2 linked regions of the Rhinolophus ferrumequinum genome follow. The protein of the gene in region 1 interacts with the protein of each later gene in a pairwise test. Links are inferred from orthologs where the notes say so. Each region holds a gene or a part of one and is shown on either strand. Other genes may lie near its edges.

Region 1 (8,241 bases):
CCAGCACACCTACAAGAATACGGGCCTTCATTTTGGAATATGGGGACAGGGGCAGCCCCTGAGGGGTGTCCTGAAACCCCACCTTCCTGTGACCGTGCTCTTTGATCCTGAGCTGCAGGCAGAGTCTGAGCCGGAGCTGCTGTGGGTAGCTGCATTCCTGCCTGGGGCAGGATTCGGGCTGCAGGAAGTTAACTTGACAGGAGGGACAGTGTGTCTTCACCCACAAGGTCTGGTTCCTGAACGTGGGAGCAGTGGCTGGGACAAGGGCAACACCTAGGCCCTCATCCAGCTACCTTTGTCCGGCATGCCTCCCCAACATCTGTTCCTGCCCCTCAAGGGCCCACGGATTAGCTTGTCTCTGGCACCATCTGCTGTTCTCCCCACACAGCAGGGCCAGTTCCTATCGTGTTGGGAGGAACTTGGGCCAGGAACTCAGTATCCCCATCCTTCTGAGCTGAGCATGTCTCAGTTTCCCCAGCAGGGGCCGCACAACACCATGGAACAGCAATTCTGGACCTCTTCCCTCCTTTCTCCACCCCTTATAATTGTTTTTGAACCCCTTTCCCTGTAAAACCAAAACCGAAAGATAGTGTTATTTCCCTTTACAGTATAAACAGACAGCCGTAAGCAGTCCCAAAAGAACAAGCATTTCTCTAGTCTTTGAAATCTCATTTTTCTCTGGGTCTTTTCCTTGTGACTGCACACCCGCATACCCAGTCCTAGGAATTCTGCTCTGCTACTAACACCATCACCCAAATCCACAGGGCACAAATCTGTGCTGGTTTTCAACTTGGGGAGGGTGGACTAGGCCATGAGGACCCCTGGCGTCCAGCACACCACTACCCTCCCTTCCCCAACCCCAAGCACCAGACCAGCTCATGGCCTTTTCTTCCACTTTATTTCATATTCCCACCACAATAATGGCTCCTTTAATTTAAACTAAAAACCATGGAGGGTTCCTGAAAGGGTGGCAGCAAAGGAATGGAGGTGTCAAAGACTGAGGACACTCAGGGACAGGTGGGAAGGGGATCAGCGAATCGTCTTGACTGGGCTCTTGAAGTTGCTGGCGGCTTGGAGCTGCAGCTGGTAGGCCATCGGATGGATCTTGAAACCGTAGAGCCTGGACCAGGGCAGAGGTCAAGAGGCAGCAGAGTGAGCCCCACGCGACCCTGCCAGCAGCCTGCATCCCTGCTCCCCACCCCAGCTCGTCCACGAGCCTGCTCAGTGCTGAAGGGTAGTGGTTCCCAAACTCCTCCCCTCCAGAATATTTGGGAATGTACCTTAAACATCCATTAAAACTCAAGTCTAGGCTATGTATGTATGTGCACAGATGTCTGTATCAGTACTTGTTTCAATGTAAAACTGAACTTTCCTTCCCCACGCCAGGGGAAAAACAATGCTCTAGGGAAGATAAGACACACCTGAAATGTGGCTCTGAGATGTCCTGGCCAAGGACGAACACCAAGACGGTGTAAGAACAGCCACTGTTTCAATGGTGCTTCAAGTGCCAAACGTTATCCTAAGCACTTCACATATTTAAAAATACCCTGCCAGGTAGGTACTATTATCACCCCCATTTTACAGATCTGGAGACTGAGGCGTAGGCAATCAAAGAACTTCCCCAGGGCAGGGTCCCTCAGCAGGGAGAGCCCTGGCTTTGGGAGAAGCAGAGCTCAAGAAAGGACCTTGCCCCCTCTTCCCTTCTCTATGGGGGGGTCTGGGCCTGTCCTGTGACCCCTGGTGATTCTGCCGTGCTCCCCACCTGGGCACAAACTGGTTGGCGGGCCGCTTGGGCCGGTATTCCGGGTGTACCATGAAGAGCATGTGAGGGAAACCAGTGCCAAAGTAGGCGCCGTCCGTGTGGTGGTGCCTCGATGACTTGGGTGTGTACACGTCCATGCACTTGGGGCAGTAGAGCTTCACCATGGCCTCACCTGGGATGTCTGACAGGCCTGGGAGATAGCCAGGCTCAGCACGCCAGGCTCTCCCACCTTGCCCAACCTCCTTTCCAGAGGACCTGCCATCTGCTGCCCTCCTTCCCCTTCTCCAACACTTACCGATGGGGAGCATTGGCTGGTTCTCACAGTACACACGGGGACAGTAGCCAAAGTCTCCCTGCTGGTATTTTTCCAACTGAGGTGAATAAAATGGAAAAGACTGGTGGGTAGGTGTGAAGAGAAGAGGCAATCCCCTCCTCTGCCCAATCCATATCACTCTGTGCCCCGTTCCTATCTCCTTCTGTCCAGAGGCCCCTTCTCTGGCCCAGACCGGCCATGTGACTCTCTGCTTCCTTTCCTCCACTTAGGCAGGCTGCAGACTATCAGAGCCATTTGCTGTTTGTTCCCCGAGAAAGAGACAGTCTCTAACAATTCTCTGTCCAAGGTTACGTTCCCCTCCCTGAAAACACCCCCTTCAGAACAACCCCCAATCAGGATTAAATTCCAGGCCCAGGTTCTGAGGTCATTGTCCTCTTCTCAGCTAGACTCCTTGACAAGGTTGAAACATGTGGTTTCTTGCTGCAGGAACCCCTGTTTCCCTTACTGCCTCAGGAATCAAGTAGGAGTAGAGAGGCCTCACCATCTGGGCGATGCCACGGTTGGTAAGGATATAGCGGGCGTGGATCAATCCATAAAGCATCTCGGCTGCCTGTTCAATCAGGTCACTCTGGTTGGGGTTGTCTTCCAGCTCTTCATCTGAAACAGGGCCCCGGCTGAATGCAACCACTCGTCTTACAGCTTTCTTGGGTGCCCTGCCCATCCCCGGGGGCTGCTGGCTACTCAGTTTTCAGTACACCCACCTTTGAGTCTCTCCCCACCTATCATGTGGGCACCTGACCCAGAAACCCGGGCCTCTGACGCTTCCACTAACCCAAGGTAGCTCTACCTTCTCTCCACACCTTCCCAGCCTCTGCTCTCTTCTCTCCTTCCCAATTCCCTCCTCAACACACAAATGCAAAGACATCAATGCAGAAGATGTAACTATAGCTGGAAAGTGCAAGGTAGGATAAAGAAGCGGAAAATGAGAACCCTGGGGAAATGCATTATGGAATATAGCTGAGTTATAGCATCAGAACGCGGGGACAAGTGGTATCAGTCACAAAACTAGGCAAGAATCAGGAGGGGCAATCAAAACGAAGTAGGGGATTTTGGGTTAAGGGAATCAGACAACAAAAAGGAAGTTTAGAAATTCAAGAAGCAGATGAATAGCGATATGAAGAGAAAAAAAGCACATACACACACAAAACAACCCTGAGGTGACTCACCAGGCTCCAGGTCCAAGATCATATCTAGAGCTTGTCGATAGTGAGGCACCTGCTCATTGAGCCCAGTGAGATTGAACTTGTCCTGGATGTAGTCTTCATCCACCTGTCAGGATGCAGAGGTCAAGAGGGAACCCATGGCACAGTCCTTGGCATTGACCTGAGCAAGTCGTTCTAACTGGTGCCTTATCCTCAAGACAGCTGCTTCTGTTCCCAACTCAGCAGAAGCACTTGAGTCTCTCTCCCCAGTTTACCTACACTGCCGTCCATAGAAGCTTTGGCTTTTCTTTTCTAAGGATAAGCATGTACAGCACTCCCTTCCTTAGAGAGGCTTCCCCTTCAAGATACCTGTCCCTACTCCTGCTCCTCCCTCTAGGAACCAGTTTTGTTCTCTCCTTAGGGGCAGATGGCGGAGAAAGGTAGGGGTTGAAAAGCATGGGTTCTGAAGGCAGTTACATCCCTTACGTTGAAACACATTATGTTAAATGCTACGAAACATTTTACAACGCGGCGTTTTAATTCTCCTACCAGTCCCCAGAAATAGATATTACCAATACCCCTCTAGTAATAAAACAGACAGACTAACTTGTGCAACGTTATACTGCTGGCGGGTGGCAGGGGTGGGAGTTGGGCCCCAGTCTTACTATTTCACCACAAATTAGTGGTGGGTTACTGAGGGCACTCTTCCTTGACAGGAAAACGTTTCTATGCAAGCATGCGAGACGAGTGCGCAGAAGCTGAATACGTGGGAGAATCTCTGGCCAGACTACATGTGGAGAAAGGTAGGGAGATTGAAGAGAACTCACTTCACAGAAGAATTCATTGCCACGGAGCCCACAGAACCAGGAAATCCAGGACACCTCCTCTGAGCTGCTCATCTTCACGTCAGCTGGAGAAAGAAGAGTGTAAGTGTAACCCACGTTCTCCCTCCCTGCCTCTGGTATCCTCCCTCCTCCCACACTTTGCTCTCCAACCACGGAAGAATTTGGGGCCACCTTTCCTTAAGGCGTCCCAGACTCTGGGACCTCGCCCCACATCCTCTTATTCACAGCTCAACCCCTTTTTTCTGAGATGAGAAATTCTTTGGGGTCCCGCCACTTGCGAGAAACCGACGGGTCTTGACCCACCAGTCCTACCCACGTCCCTGACGCTCCCAAAGGCCAGTCCCCTCTCTCCTTCACGTCAACTCTGGCCGTGCTCCCTCAGGTCTCTACATGTTCCGGGGCATTTCCCAAGCGTGCCGAAGTTTATTCCTTCCAAGCAAGAGATGGGCCCCTCTTTTCCTCATGGCCTGGGAGGGGGGGAGGTGGCCCTCAGCTCCCTTTCGCAGGAGTCCCCACATCCCTCCTCCGCCCCTCAGGCCACCTCTTCCTCCCTGGGTGCCGGACCAGGTCTCTTCCTTCTCCACCAAACACATCGAAGCGCGGAGACCCCCATGTGCCGTGCCCAGGGACAGGGCACTCAGCGCGGCGACGACCTCAGACTCACCGGCTGGACGGGGGCCAGGACCGGGGTGGGGGAGGGGAGTTGCTACTTCCAAGGAACGGCGACGACCGCTACAGCGCAGGCCGCGGACCGGATCGCGGCAGGCGAAGTGGGCAGGGGGGAGTGGAAATTGGAGAGGGTGGGGAAGAGGGCAACGCGCAAGCGCCAGGGGTCGGGCGCCGCGATGGACGCCGGGAGATAGAGTCTCTGATGGTGAGAAACTGGCGAAACGAGGGAAAGGCGAACTACGAATTCCAGGGTGACCTGCGCACGACCCTGGTGTCGCGAGGCCCCTGGGGAAGATGCTAGGGGCGGGGCGCAGCGAAGCTCCACCGGAAGCGGAAGCCCTGTACCGTGTCCTGGGCCAGAGAGCTTGAAAAATATAGTCGGGTGATCGCGGAACCCGGGGGTCGCGAGGGGGCGGGGTAAGGAACGAAGGTGGCTGGGTGATTTCCTGCCGCTCCCCTCACACAGCGAACGAGACTTCGGCCCCGGCGCGCCCCTGCTGGCCAGGGGACTGACTTCATCCCCAGGCAGCCCGTCGCCCGAACCAGACACGCCACTGGAGACCCCCGACGGGCCCCATGTTTCACCTGGGGGTCCGGCCGCCTGAGGCAGGAGGTGAGGCCGGCCTCCGTGCTGAGGGACCTGCGTAGGATGTGCTGGGCTGAGCGGAGCGGTGTGAGAGTCGGGTCGGCCCAGCGCTAACCTGAGGTGGTGCTAGCCATTATTCTGCTGCTCGTCCCCTTGCAGTTCTCCATTTCCTCTTAGGGCTTGAATGAGGCCTTCTGCTGCGGGCGCTAAGTGTGACCTTCGAACCCTGATTGGAGTAATGGTGAGGGGCAGCGTGACGTTATTTCACAGCTCTGGGCATTCCATAGATTTCCCTCCGCCTCCTCAGGGCCTTTTTTAACCCAGAGAGTGGTTTCCCAGCTCCAGAAAATGAGCTCAGAGCTGGGACCAAGTTGAGGGAGGCGAAGGGCATTGTGGGGCGTTATATAAAAGCAGGACCCCAACTGACAGATCCTCGGTCCTCGTGCTATGCTGGCACGTGGTACTTTGCGCGAATACTATTGGAAAGGTTGCAAGGCGGGAAACCTGGTGCTTTCTGTAAGCCTGTGCCCTCAAGTAAAAGTTTGGTTTTTTTCCACTCAGGCGTCTTCTAGTCGTCTGGCTACTTGATCTTGTGAACTGCTTTGCATAGAGGTGCCATTTTGCAGTACGAAAGCTACAAGACAACGCAGGTTGCAGCCTTCCCCCAAATGTGCTTCCTGCTTCCGGAGAAGTGTCAAGTCTGTTTTTGTTTGAGAAGATAATACCCAAAATAGGATCAAGGAAAGTCTAAAGGGCCAGACTGATTGTTTTTCTTAATGGTATGCCTTACAGAGCGGTAGTTTCAAAGAGATTACTTATTCTTTATTGTTGATGAGGTTGGGGGAGGGGGCTGAACGCAGGACCTCTGCGTAACTGTCCCATGGAGTCTTTGTTAAGCTTTACTAAAGGGCATGGTCTGTTATTGTAGGGTTCCGTGTTTCCACGTGATTTATCATCCTTAGGCCCTGTAGGGTCCTAGGTTGTGAGGTAACTTTTGGGGTGGGAGGGTTTTTGTTTGTTTGTTTTAATCTAAAGCTACTTTCCCTCATCCCAGCAGGTCTCTGGAGGTGGCTGTGGTCACTGCAGGGCCACCACGGGATTGGCTTGCATGTTTCATCTTCCCCTTGCCTAGTCTGATTTTCTCAGCTCTCCCACAGCCATGCCCAGGCCCTCCCTCATCACCTTCACCCCGGCCACCGACCCCAGCGACCTCTGGAAAGATGGGCAGCAGCAGGCACAGCCTGAAGAGCTGGAGCCTACCCTGGATGGGGCTGCAGCCCGGGCTTTCTATGAGGCTTTGATTGGGGAAGAGAGCAGTGCCCCTGAACCCCAGAGATCACAGCCTGAGCCTGCCAGTGAGAGAAAGCGGAAGAAGAGAAGAATGAGGAGGGAGGCTGCAGCAGGAGCAGCAGGAGGGCATGGACAAAGGAGATCTCTTGAAGCTGAGGACAGAATGACTCAGTGGATACTGAGGGCAGCCCAGGAGGGGAACCTGGCAGAACTAAGAAGGCTCTTGGATCCCCATGAGGAAGGGGGAGCTGGGGGGAATATCAATGCTCGGGATGCCTTCTGGTGGACCCCCCTGATGTGTGCTGCCCGAGCAGGCCAGGGAGCGGCTGTGCGCTATCTCTTAGAGCGAGGGGCTGCCTGGGTTGGGGTCTGCGAGCTGGGTGGCAGGGATGCTGCTCAGCTGGCCGAAGAAGCGGGCTTCCCTGAAGTGGCCCGCACCGTCAGAGAGAGCCACGGAGAGATGAGGAGTCCAGAGAACCGGTGAGGGGACGCCTGTGCCCATGTCCTTCTTTCAGTGTGTTCTGCCCTTCCTAGCCACTCCACACCAGAGGCCTCAGCACAGAGCTGAAGGGTTCTCCCCCATCCCCGTATAGGTTGACAGGGAAGGCAGTGTGCTAGAGTGGTTATGAACATGAGTTCTCTGGGATTAAATGCTAACTCTACTTGGGCAAGCAACCTAACGTCTATGTGCCTCAGTTTCCTCATCTGAGAAATGGGGAAAAGAGCACTTTTCTCAGGGTTGTTAGGATTAAATGCATTAATACATGTAAAGTGTTAGAACACTGCTTGCCATATAGTAAGCTTTATGGAAACATTAGCTATAGCCATTATTCCTTTTTTGCCCAAGAGCCTTATGAGGCCTAGTTACCATCTCTTCTCCCAACTATTCCCCTCTGGTCCTTCATTGCTAAGCGGGGCAGAAGGCAATTTTTTCCTTAGCAGAAAAACTGGAAGGACCCTGTCCAACCCTGCCCTCACCCTTTCTCTTCGTCCTCTGCAGGTCCCAGTCCTCCCCGCAGTACTGTGACACCTGTGATGCCCACTTCCAAGACTCTAACCATCACACATCTACTGCTCACCTGCTGTCACTGTCCCGGGATCGCCAGACCCCCAACCTGTCCCTTGGGATCCCCACATCCAGCCCAGGCTTCAAGCTACTGCTGAGGGGGGGTTGGGAGCCTGGAATGGGGCTGGGACCCCAGGGCAAGGGCCGTGTTATCCCCATCCCCACAGTCCTCAAGAGGGACCAGGAAGGATTAGGATACAGACCAGCACCTCAACCTCGAGTTACACACTTTCGGGCTCAGGATACCCGAGCAGTGGCTGGGAGGGAGAGAGTCCCTCAGGTGACTACACTGAGCCGGAGGGAGGAGAGAAGGCAGGAGGAGAAGGACAGAGCCTGGGAGCGGGATCTGAGGACATACATGAACCTTGAGTTCTGACCTTGGCAAGGTCTGACCCTGGTCTGCTGCTGAGGTCTGAACTTGAGCCTCTGACCTGTCCAGGTCCCAGACCCTCAGGTTTTGGTCAGTAGGCCCTATCTTTGGGAGAGGGGAGCTGAGTGAGAGTTGAGAAATAAATCAACCTTCTTACTCTTTTGTGTTTTATTAACT
Region 2 (7,166 bases), on another chromosome or scaffold:
GCAAAATTGTCCCATAACAACAGAAATTGTGAGTGTCCTCAGGGGGTACAGCACTATCACAGCCTGATGAGGAGTCTGACTTGGAGCCAAACCAGGCCCTGAGCTGTTGGCAACTTTCTGGGGGCAGAAAATATATGGAGAGGATGGAGGGTGCATGAGGCCCTGCACCAGGGCTCTGAATGCCTGTGTGAGCGTGGCCAACTACCCAGCACAACCTAGACTGGGACTAGTCATGTCAGAGTGGAACAGGATAAAGGACTGAATGTGCACTAAAAGTGGGAAAAAGCCCCCGCAAGTGTTGACACAAGAAGCTGTTGCAGTGGGCAATGCAGAAAGGGAAGACAGGGTGAACACCAGAAAAACAGGTCTAATTGGAACGACAGGTTATTTGGAATGACAGGTGGAAATTCAGACTACAGGAGAGGTTAGAAGGTCTCCTGGAATTCTTGCTGAGTAGTTAATATGGAAGAGAAAGGAATGGGGGTGACATGGGGGTCTGTCCTTTAGGACTCCTAAAAGTAGTTTGAGGGCACACAGCAAGCAACTAGAAGTCTAGTAACTCAGGCCTTAAGTAAGGGGTGTGTGTGTGTGTGACCTCGTGGCCATGTCTATGACACTAGAGTCTCTTGAGAGAGTAGGCAGTTGGAACCCCTCTCCAGTCAAAGGCTCAAAAGATTTGAGGGTTCTTGTAAACTACCATGCCAATTTCTCTGTATAAGCATGGAGATGAGCAAAGAAGGGTGGCAAACCCCCATGAGAGGCAAACCTCCCTCCCAGGCTGATAAAATTTAGTCTAATATGTGACAGACAAAACCTGCAACAATACCAGTATTCTTAGCCTCTCAATATTTCTTACCCTCTAGGAAGGGACCCCTGTCATTGACAGCTGGGGCTCCTGACATCTGTGCAGATGAGGGGAAGGGGGGACAGAATCAAAGGAGCTGAAACAAGGAGTTTCTTCTTGTAGAAGAGAAAAAGGATCCATCCAAGAAGTGAAGGGGGGCAGGCAGTGAAAAAGCAAGGGCCATGCTTGAGAGAAAGTTTGGGGATGTTTGGGGAGAAAGGAGAGAGAATGGCAGACAGCTATGCCATAAAGAGAATGATGAGGGAAGAGAAGTTTAAGATGTCTTCCTCTATGCTAAACCCCTTTAGAGTTTTCCCAGAGATTATAATAAAAAATATAAATTGCTTTTTAATTCTATTTGGCTATTAGATATGTTTCTTTTGAATGTGATATCATGCCGAGATGGGCCACAAGGCAACTCAGCTTCATAAAAGTTGAATTTGGGGAGACATATCGGTGATTGTGGACTTAAGGATGAAACAGTTATTCTAGATCTAGAGGAACAGAGCAAGCGTCTTCACCATGACTGTTAGATTTATAATGCCAAAAGTATACCAGCTATATAGAGACTGGAGATAAACTACACAACAGCTAGAGAAAACTGGCAGAACTACTGAGAATCACAATTTTAGAGAGAATGTGACGTTTGGGACTAAGTGTACCTATGTGGAGACTTCTGTGTATGCAGCATGGACTCTATTCCCCTCCTTAGCCTATGAGACTGGAATGAAGGAACAGAACAGCTAGGTGATTCCCAGAAGACAGAGAAAGGCGGGAAGCAGAAGAAGAGTGTGCAGGGTTTCTTTTTTTCTTGCTATGTGGCATACTTTTTATATGTGAATACTCTAGTGACATGGCCAGAGTACCCATTCAGCCTCTTTTTCCTTGGGAATGGACCCACTCAACAAACGCCAGGGAATTGGAGTCCAGAGGGCTCAGCCCTGTATCCCAGCAAGATAACTGAGGCTCTACTTCACTCTCTGCATCTGTCCCCCTTACTTTCTGAGACTAAACCCTTCTCCTATTTTCCCTGTCTCATGTTCACATGGAATTCCTAAAATTATCTGGTTCTGAATCTGAGGCACCAATTGTTTCCTCCTTATGTTTTCAAGTTCTGCTACTTGTCCACTCCCCCACTTCCCACCACCCCTGGCTCTCAAATGTCTGACCTGGAGCTTGACTGGATCAGCCCCACCCCTTGATCTCTGCACTTGTTTCCCAGGGTCTTTCATGCTTCTCCAATAATTTCCCCTCCCTCTAGGCTCAGACCCCTGGCACTCTCAGTGGACTTCTGCCAGCACCTCTGGGAGCATGATGTAATCTTATGCTGAAAACCTTGACATACATGGTATCCCCAACAATAGTGGCAAAGGGCCTTGTATGATGGTATAATCCAGCTCCTACAATATGGGGGCTACATTTAATGTAAGGTGAAGGCTAAGAGGGAGGCCCTATACTGGGGACAGGGTCAGTCCTTGTAGATGGAAGCAAGAACTCACCTGAAGGGTGAAGGAGCCGACAAGTCCATGCCAAGTGTTGGTCAAGAAATGTGAAGCAACAGACCCAAGCAAAAAGACCTGCAAGTCACGACTGTCTTTTCTAGTTAGAGCAGAGTATAGATTTTTTTGGTAAAGTCAGCTGTGCTTAGGGAAGCCAAGGAAACGCATTTTTGTCTTCTCCTGAGCTTTCTGAATAACCTGTAGGGCACATGACAAAGGTGGGAGAGATAACCAAGGTGAGAGCGCCACAAGTTTGTGGAATGAGTAAGGAAGGAATGAGCAAGCAAACAGGATTAGATCATTTGTTTTAGAAAATACAATACCGTAGGGGTTTTAATTTGTTCATATATTTGTTTAGAAAATCAAATTTCTAATGGGTGCACAATACTTTATTATATCAGCAATGCCTTAAACACTCTGCTGTTTAGGGTATTTTCCCAATTATTTCTATTTTAATAGCAGTAAAACAGGCATAAGCCAAACAGTTCTTTAGTGCCCATAAGAGTTCCTCTGGGCCAGTCCTACTTTTCCTTACCAGAGTACACAACCAGGGAAACCTTGAACCACCAGGATACAAAACACTCCCTCATACCTAGCTCTTCCCCCATCCTGGAGTGATACAGTTCTTTTCTCCTCCCCAGATTTATTTCTTCTCGTGAACTTCATTTTTGGTTTCTGATCATTTGGCCTCTCCAATTGACTAAGGTTATATTAGTATGCTGCTACCCAGGTGCTGTTTACTTCTGAGTCTGAAGTCATCTGTAAATATGTGAAATCCCATTTTTCTTCCTCCTGCTCCCCTCCCACTTGGCCCCTTAAGTAGGGAAAGGAATTGTCACGAAGGTTGAGACACTCAGTGTAGGTCTGTACCTGGGCACCAGGCCTGAGGAGGGGCAGCTATCCTTACACACACTGTCACCCTTTCCACCTGTGAGCTGATGCACAGGGTTACTCAGAAATAACATTATAAATTATCCAGTCCAATCCTCTAACAGATCAGGAAAACGACTTATTTAAGGTCTCTGAGTTAATAAGTGGCAGATACAAAACTGAGTTCAGGTCTCCTAAAATCCACTATGTGTGGGCTGGAGGGTTACCGATGGGGGAACAAGACATAGGGTTCTTGTTCTTCATTCAACAAATGTATTGAGCACTTACTACGTGCCAGGCACTATTTTAGGTACTGGGGATTCCCTGATGGTGATGGAAGGCACGGAGGAGACAAAAATCTCTTCTCTTATGGAGCTGTCTTTTTCAAAACTTAAGTACTTTGCCTCATCATCCTGGAAAAATTCCCAGTGCCCTGGGTAGGAGTGGGTGGGTCTCATACGGGAGGGGGAATCTCATTCTTTCTCGGTTCCTGTGCTATATCTACACGCAGAGGGCTGATTTACTGCAGAAGCCGAATAGAGATGCGGAAACCTCCAGAGTGTCCTCCCCCCTACACCTCCAAGGCCGGCCGGGCCGGCTCCAGGGCGCCGCCGCGTCCCAGCTCGTCTAGGATGCTGTATCCTCTCTGCTTTCCTGCGGACCGCTGGAGGACAGAGAAGCAGAACTCGGCTCTAGCGCAATCCTCTGAAGAAGGACTGCGGGCAGATGAATATCCTTCCAAGGTAGTAGGCTCAGTGTGTAGCACCCAGACTAGGAGAGGGGATGACCTCTCCCGGACCTGGGGGTTTATGCAGCAAACTGCTCTCATGCTTCCCTAAGAAATATTGCAACCACACGCTCTTTCCAGCCTCAGCTGAGGCCACTGCAGCGTACCCTCCCCTCCCGCCCCACCCGCTCGCTCACACACCAGAGCCCCACTGCAGCTTCCCAGCCATCCTCCCTTTTCTTCTCCACTTCCTGGTTGCCATGGAGACACGTCATTTACGTACCGTGCGTCGCCTTGGAAACGGGAGCATCCGCGGCGCTGCTGGGAAGCCCGCCCCTGCCGCTCCTGTCACACTTGCAGGCGCTGCCAGTTAATGGCCGGGGGGGAGTCCCGAGCTGGACCTGCTGCTGGCCTTGGCCTCGACCCGGGTCCCTTCGCAAACGCTTCTGTGATCCAGGGAATCGGCGGGCACTTGCTGCTCGTGGCTCCGGGAGGGCGGCGCTGACACGAGCGCAATCCAGAAGGCGAGGCAGCAGGAGAGGGCACTTTCGCCCCGGGGCAAGCGGCAGAGACACCGGCCCTGGGACTCTCGTCGGGTCTTAGTCCCGCAGGCTCTTCCGGGCCTCCCCGGATCCTGCCGCACCCTCTGCCCGGGACTCGTCTCCTCACGTCGGCTCCCCGCCCCTCTCAGGAGCATCCCCTTCCCTCGGCTCCTCCCAGTCCCTCCCGGGACCTCGCCTCCTCCCCGCCCCTCCCCCACTCTGGAGGCCGGGCTGGACCGGACCCAGAGCGGCCACCGCCCGCTTCTGCCATTCAATGGAGGACGGTCTGCTGGAGATCATGACCAAGGACGGCGGCGAAATGCCGGCACCTCTGGAGGTGTCCACCGTGCCGGCGGTGGGGGACGTGATCTCCGGCGAGTACAACGGCGGCATGAAGGAACTCATGGAGCACCTGAAGGCCCAGCTGCAGGCCCTGTTTGAGGACGTGAGGGCGATGCGGGGGGCCCTGGACGAGCAGGCTTCGCACATCCAGGTGCTCTCGGACGACGTGTGCGCCAATCAGCGGGCCATCGTCTCCATGTGCCAGATTATGACCACGGCGCCCCGCCAGGGTGGCCTGGGCGTGGTCGGCAGCAAGGGGAGCTTTCCGGCAGCCCCGCAAGAACCAGAGACCCCTTCTCCTGGAATCGAGGACAGCGGTTTGCTGGGTCGAGATCCTGAGGACGAGGAAGACGACGATGAAGAGGACGAAAAGAAGATGCCCCGCTCCGCCACACCCACTAGTCACTGTGAGCGCCTTGAGAGCCCCCGTGCTGGTCTCCTTGGTGGGGCCGGGCCACTTGTGGAGCCCCTCGATCTGCCCGACATTACCCTGCTGCAGCTGGAGGGCGAGGCCTCCCTGTGAGGGGACTCCGAGGGGCACTACTTTCCCGGGCTGGCTTTGGGTTTCCGAGTGCATGACGCCAGCGGACTCAACAGCGCGGTGCAGCACGCTTCACTCCGATCGCTGCTCTTGTGGGTCAGGCAGAGAGAGACTCCCTGGAGGAAAGATCGATAGGGTGAAGGACTTTTTGGGAGCATCAAGAATTCTTTCTGCCTAACCATGCGAGACGTAGCAAACTGCGGAAAGGTGAGGTTCCCGGAGAGGAAGCGCCCATCTCTGGACTCTCCCATCCATCCTCTACCCTTCCTTTCCCCCTGCCCAGCCAACAGGAGAACCCCTGAATTGTGTAAATAAAATTCTGCTTTTTCTATTATGAAAAAGGACTTTTCTAGGACTATGGCAAATAGTCTCTAACGATTTACCTAGAAATTAAGGAATTGGGGTATTCTGTTCTGGCAACAGAAAATTTACCCTTCTGCTGAAATCCAAGATATTCAGCGCTCTACAGAAGCCTCTCCCCCTCACAGATCTCTGCGGCTGCTGATTGGTAAAGAAAGCTTGAGGAGGGAACTGCAGCCCTAGGAATCTGAGAGAATGGGGTTCCCAGGGCCCCCGGGCTGGGAGGAGCTGGCTGTGAATGTGCATGAAGACATAATAGGTCGACCTCTAGGATTTTGCATGCAGAACGGATCCTGCCTTGCCACTGACTTCATCTGGAATTGCTTTATCCACTCACTGGGGCTTAGAGAACAAAGAGCCCAGTTCACAGGCAGAGACTTGGGGTGCTCAGCAACAGCCCAGATTTAGGGGACATTTGAGGGACTCTTGGGAGCTGCAGCCAAAAACTGTCTCTCTCCTGGCTACACCCGCTTAACTTCAGTTCCTTTCCTGTCAATATGTCCCCTGCCTGCTGCCTCTCGGTGTTGCCTCCATGTCTTGTGTGTGTTACGTGTGTTGACTTGTGTAGTAGTGTGTGAGCCCTTAGGGGCAGGGCTTGTGGCTCTGGTGTTAGGTTCAGGGGGCTTCAGACCCTTCTGTGAGCCCCTGGCTATCATGGCGCTTTCCCCTCTCCTTTCCTCTTTTCCCCCACAACCAGGGCATGGAGCATGTGGCTGTCCTGAGGTTCTTAACTGATGTGCCTCCCTCCCATCTCCTCAATTGGTGACTTTGTGTGCCCTTCCTCCTCCTCTGTGTATTCCTTCTGAATGCTTTCCTTGGTATTAATCTTAATAAAGAGGTGTCATCTCCCCTCCTTGCTGACTGGTCCTAGGGCGATGTCAGTGTCGGGCTTCTGGGCCCGTTGCATGGACCAGGACTTAGAGGGAACCACAGGGACCATGCCTTCCCTCCTCTCTCCTTGCCTCCAGTTCCAAGGAGTTGACCATCCCTGCCCTGGTTTGGACAGTCCTTGCCAACTCTATCTGCTTTCCCTTCCATCCTGGACCTTGACTTCCAGCTGGACTGGGAAAAGAAAGGGTACGTGTTGAGACTCCCAAATTAACAAGGGTTTTTAGTAGCCAGAACTCCAGATGTACAAGAGACTTCTTTTCAAGTGAAGCACCTGGCCCCTGATACATGATTTCCAAATCTGAGTCCTGGAATGGCAGGCATGACACCTGTTTCCTGGGAGGTTTCCGGAGAGGGTATTGTTCGGGAGGTTTTGCCGGGGATCTCTGGGCAGAGTGACACATCATAAAGGAAACCGCAATAACTGCCTCAGGCCTCTAGTGGAGAATGCCGGTAAGGTGTTCCCCAGGGAGCTTAGACTGACATCAGCTGTAGTCAGCTCCCTTGGGCGTTGGAGATTTCCCAAGGCTATCCCAAACAAAATTTGGGAGAA

What was found.
Region 2: the proteins of GPANK1 (region 1) and CCDC184 interact in binary tests that used the Homo sapiens proteins (3 or more experiments, as listed by UniProt). The two-hybrid records come from large-scale screens. The link is inferred for Rhinolophus ferrumequinum from reciprocal best matches to the Homo sapiens genes GPANK1 and CCDC184.

The regions. Positions count from the first base shown.
Region 1 is NC_046286.1:2,157,684-2,165,924, reverse strand, and holds GPANK1 (G patch domain and ankyrin repeat-containing protein 1), read left to right. Parts: upstream 1-5,071; 5' UTR 5,072-5,365; exon of another isoform or gene 5,366-5,579; intron 5,580-5,899; 5' UTR 5,900-6,117; intron 6,118-6,392; exon of another isoform or gene 6,393-6,395; 5' UTR 6,396-6,497; coding exon 6,498-7,108; intron 7,109-7,628; coding exon 7,629-8,070; 3' UTR 8,071-8,219; downstream 8,220-8,241. Other genes in the region: LY6G5B (lymphocyte antigen 6 complex locus protein G5b), read right to left, coding at 83-155; CSNK2B (casein kinase II subunit beta), read right to left, coding at 1,030-1,120, 1,763-1,952, 2,058-2,133, 2,578-2,693, 3,263-3,365, 4,066-4,137.
Region 2 is NC_046293.1:49,614,536-49,621,701, forward strand, and holds CCDC184 (coiled-coil domain-containing protein 184), read left to right. Parts: upstream 1-4,226; 5' UTR 4,227-4,756; coding exon 4,757-5,347; 3' UTR 5,348-6,578; downstream 6,579-7,166.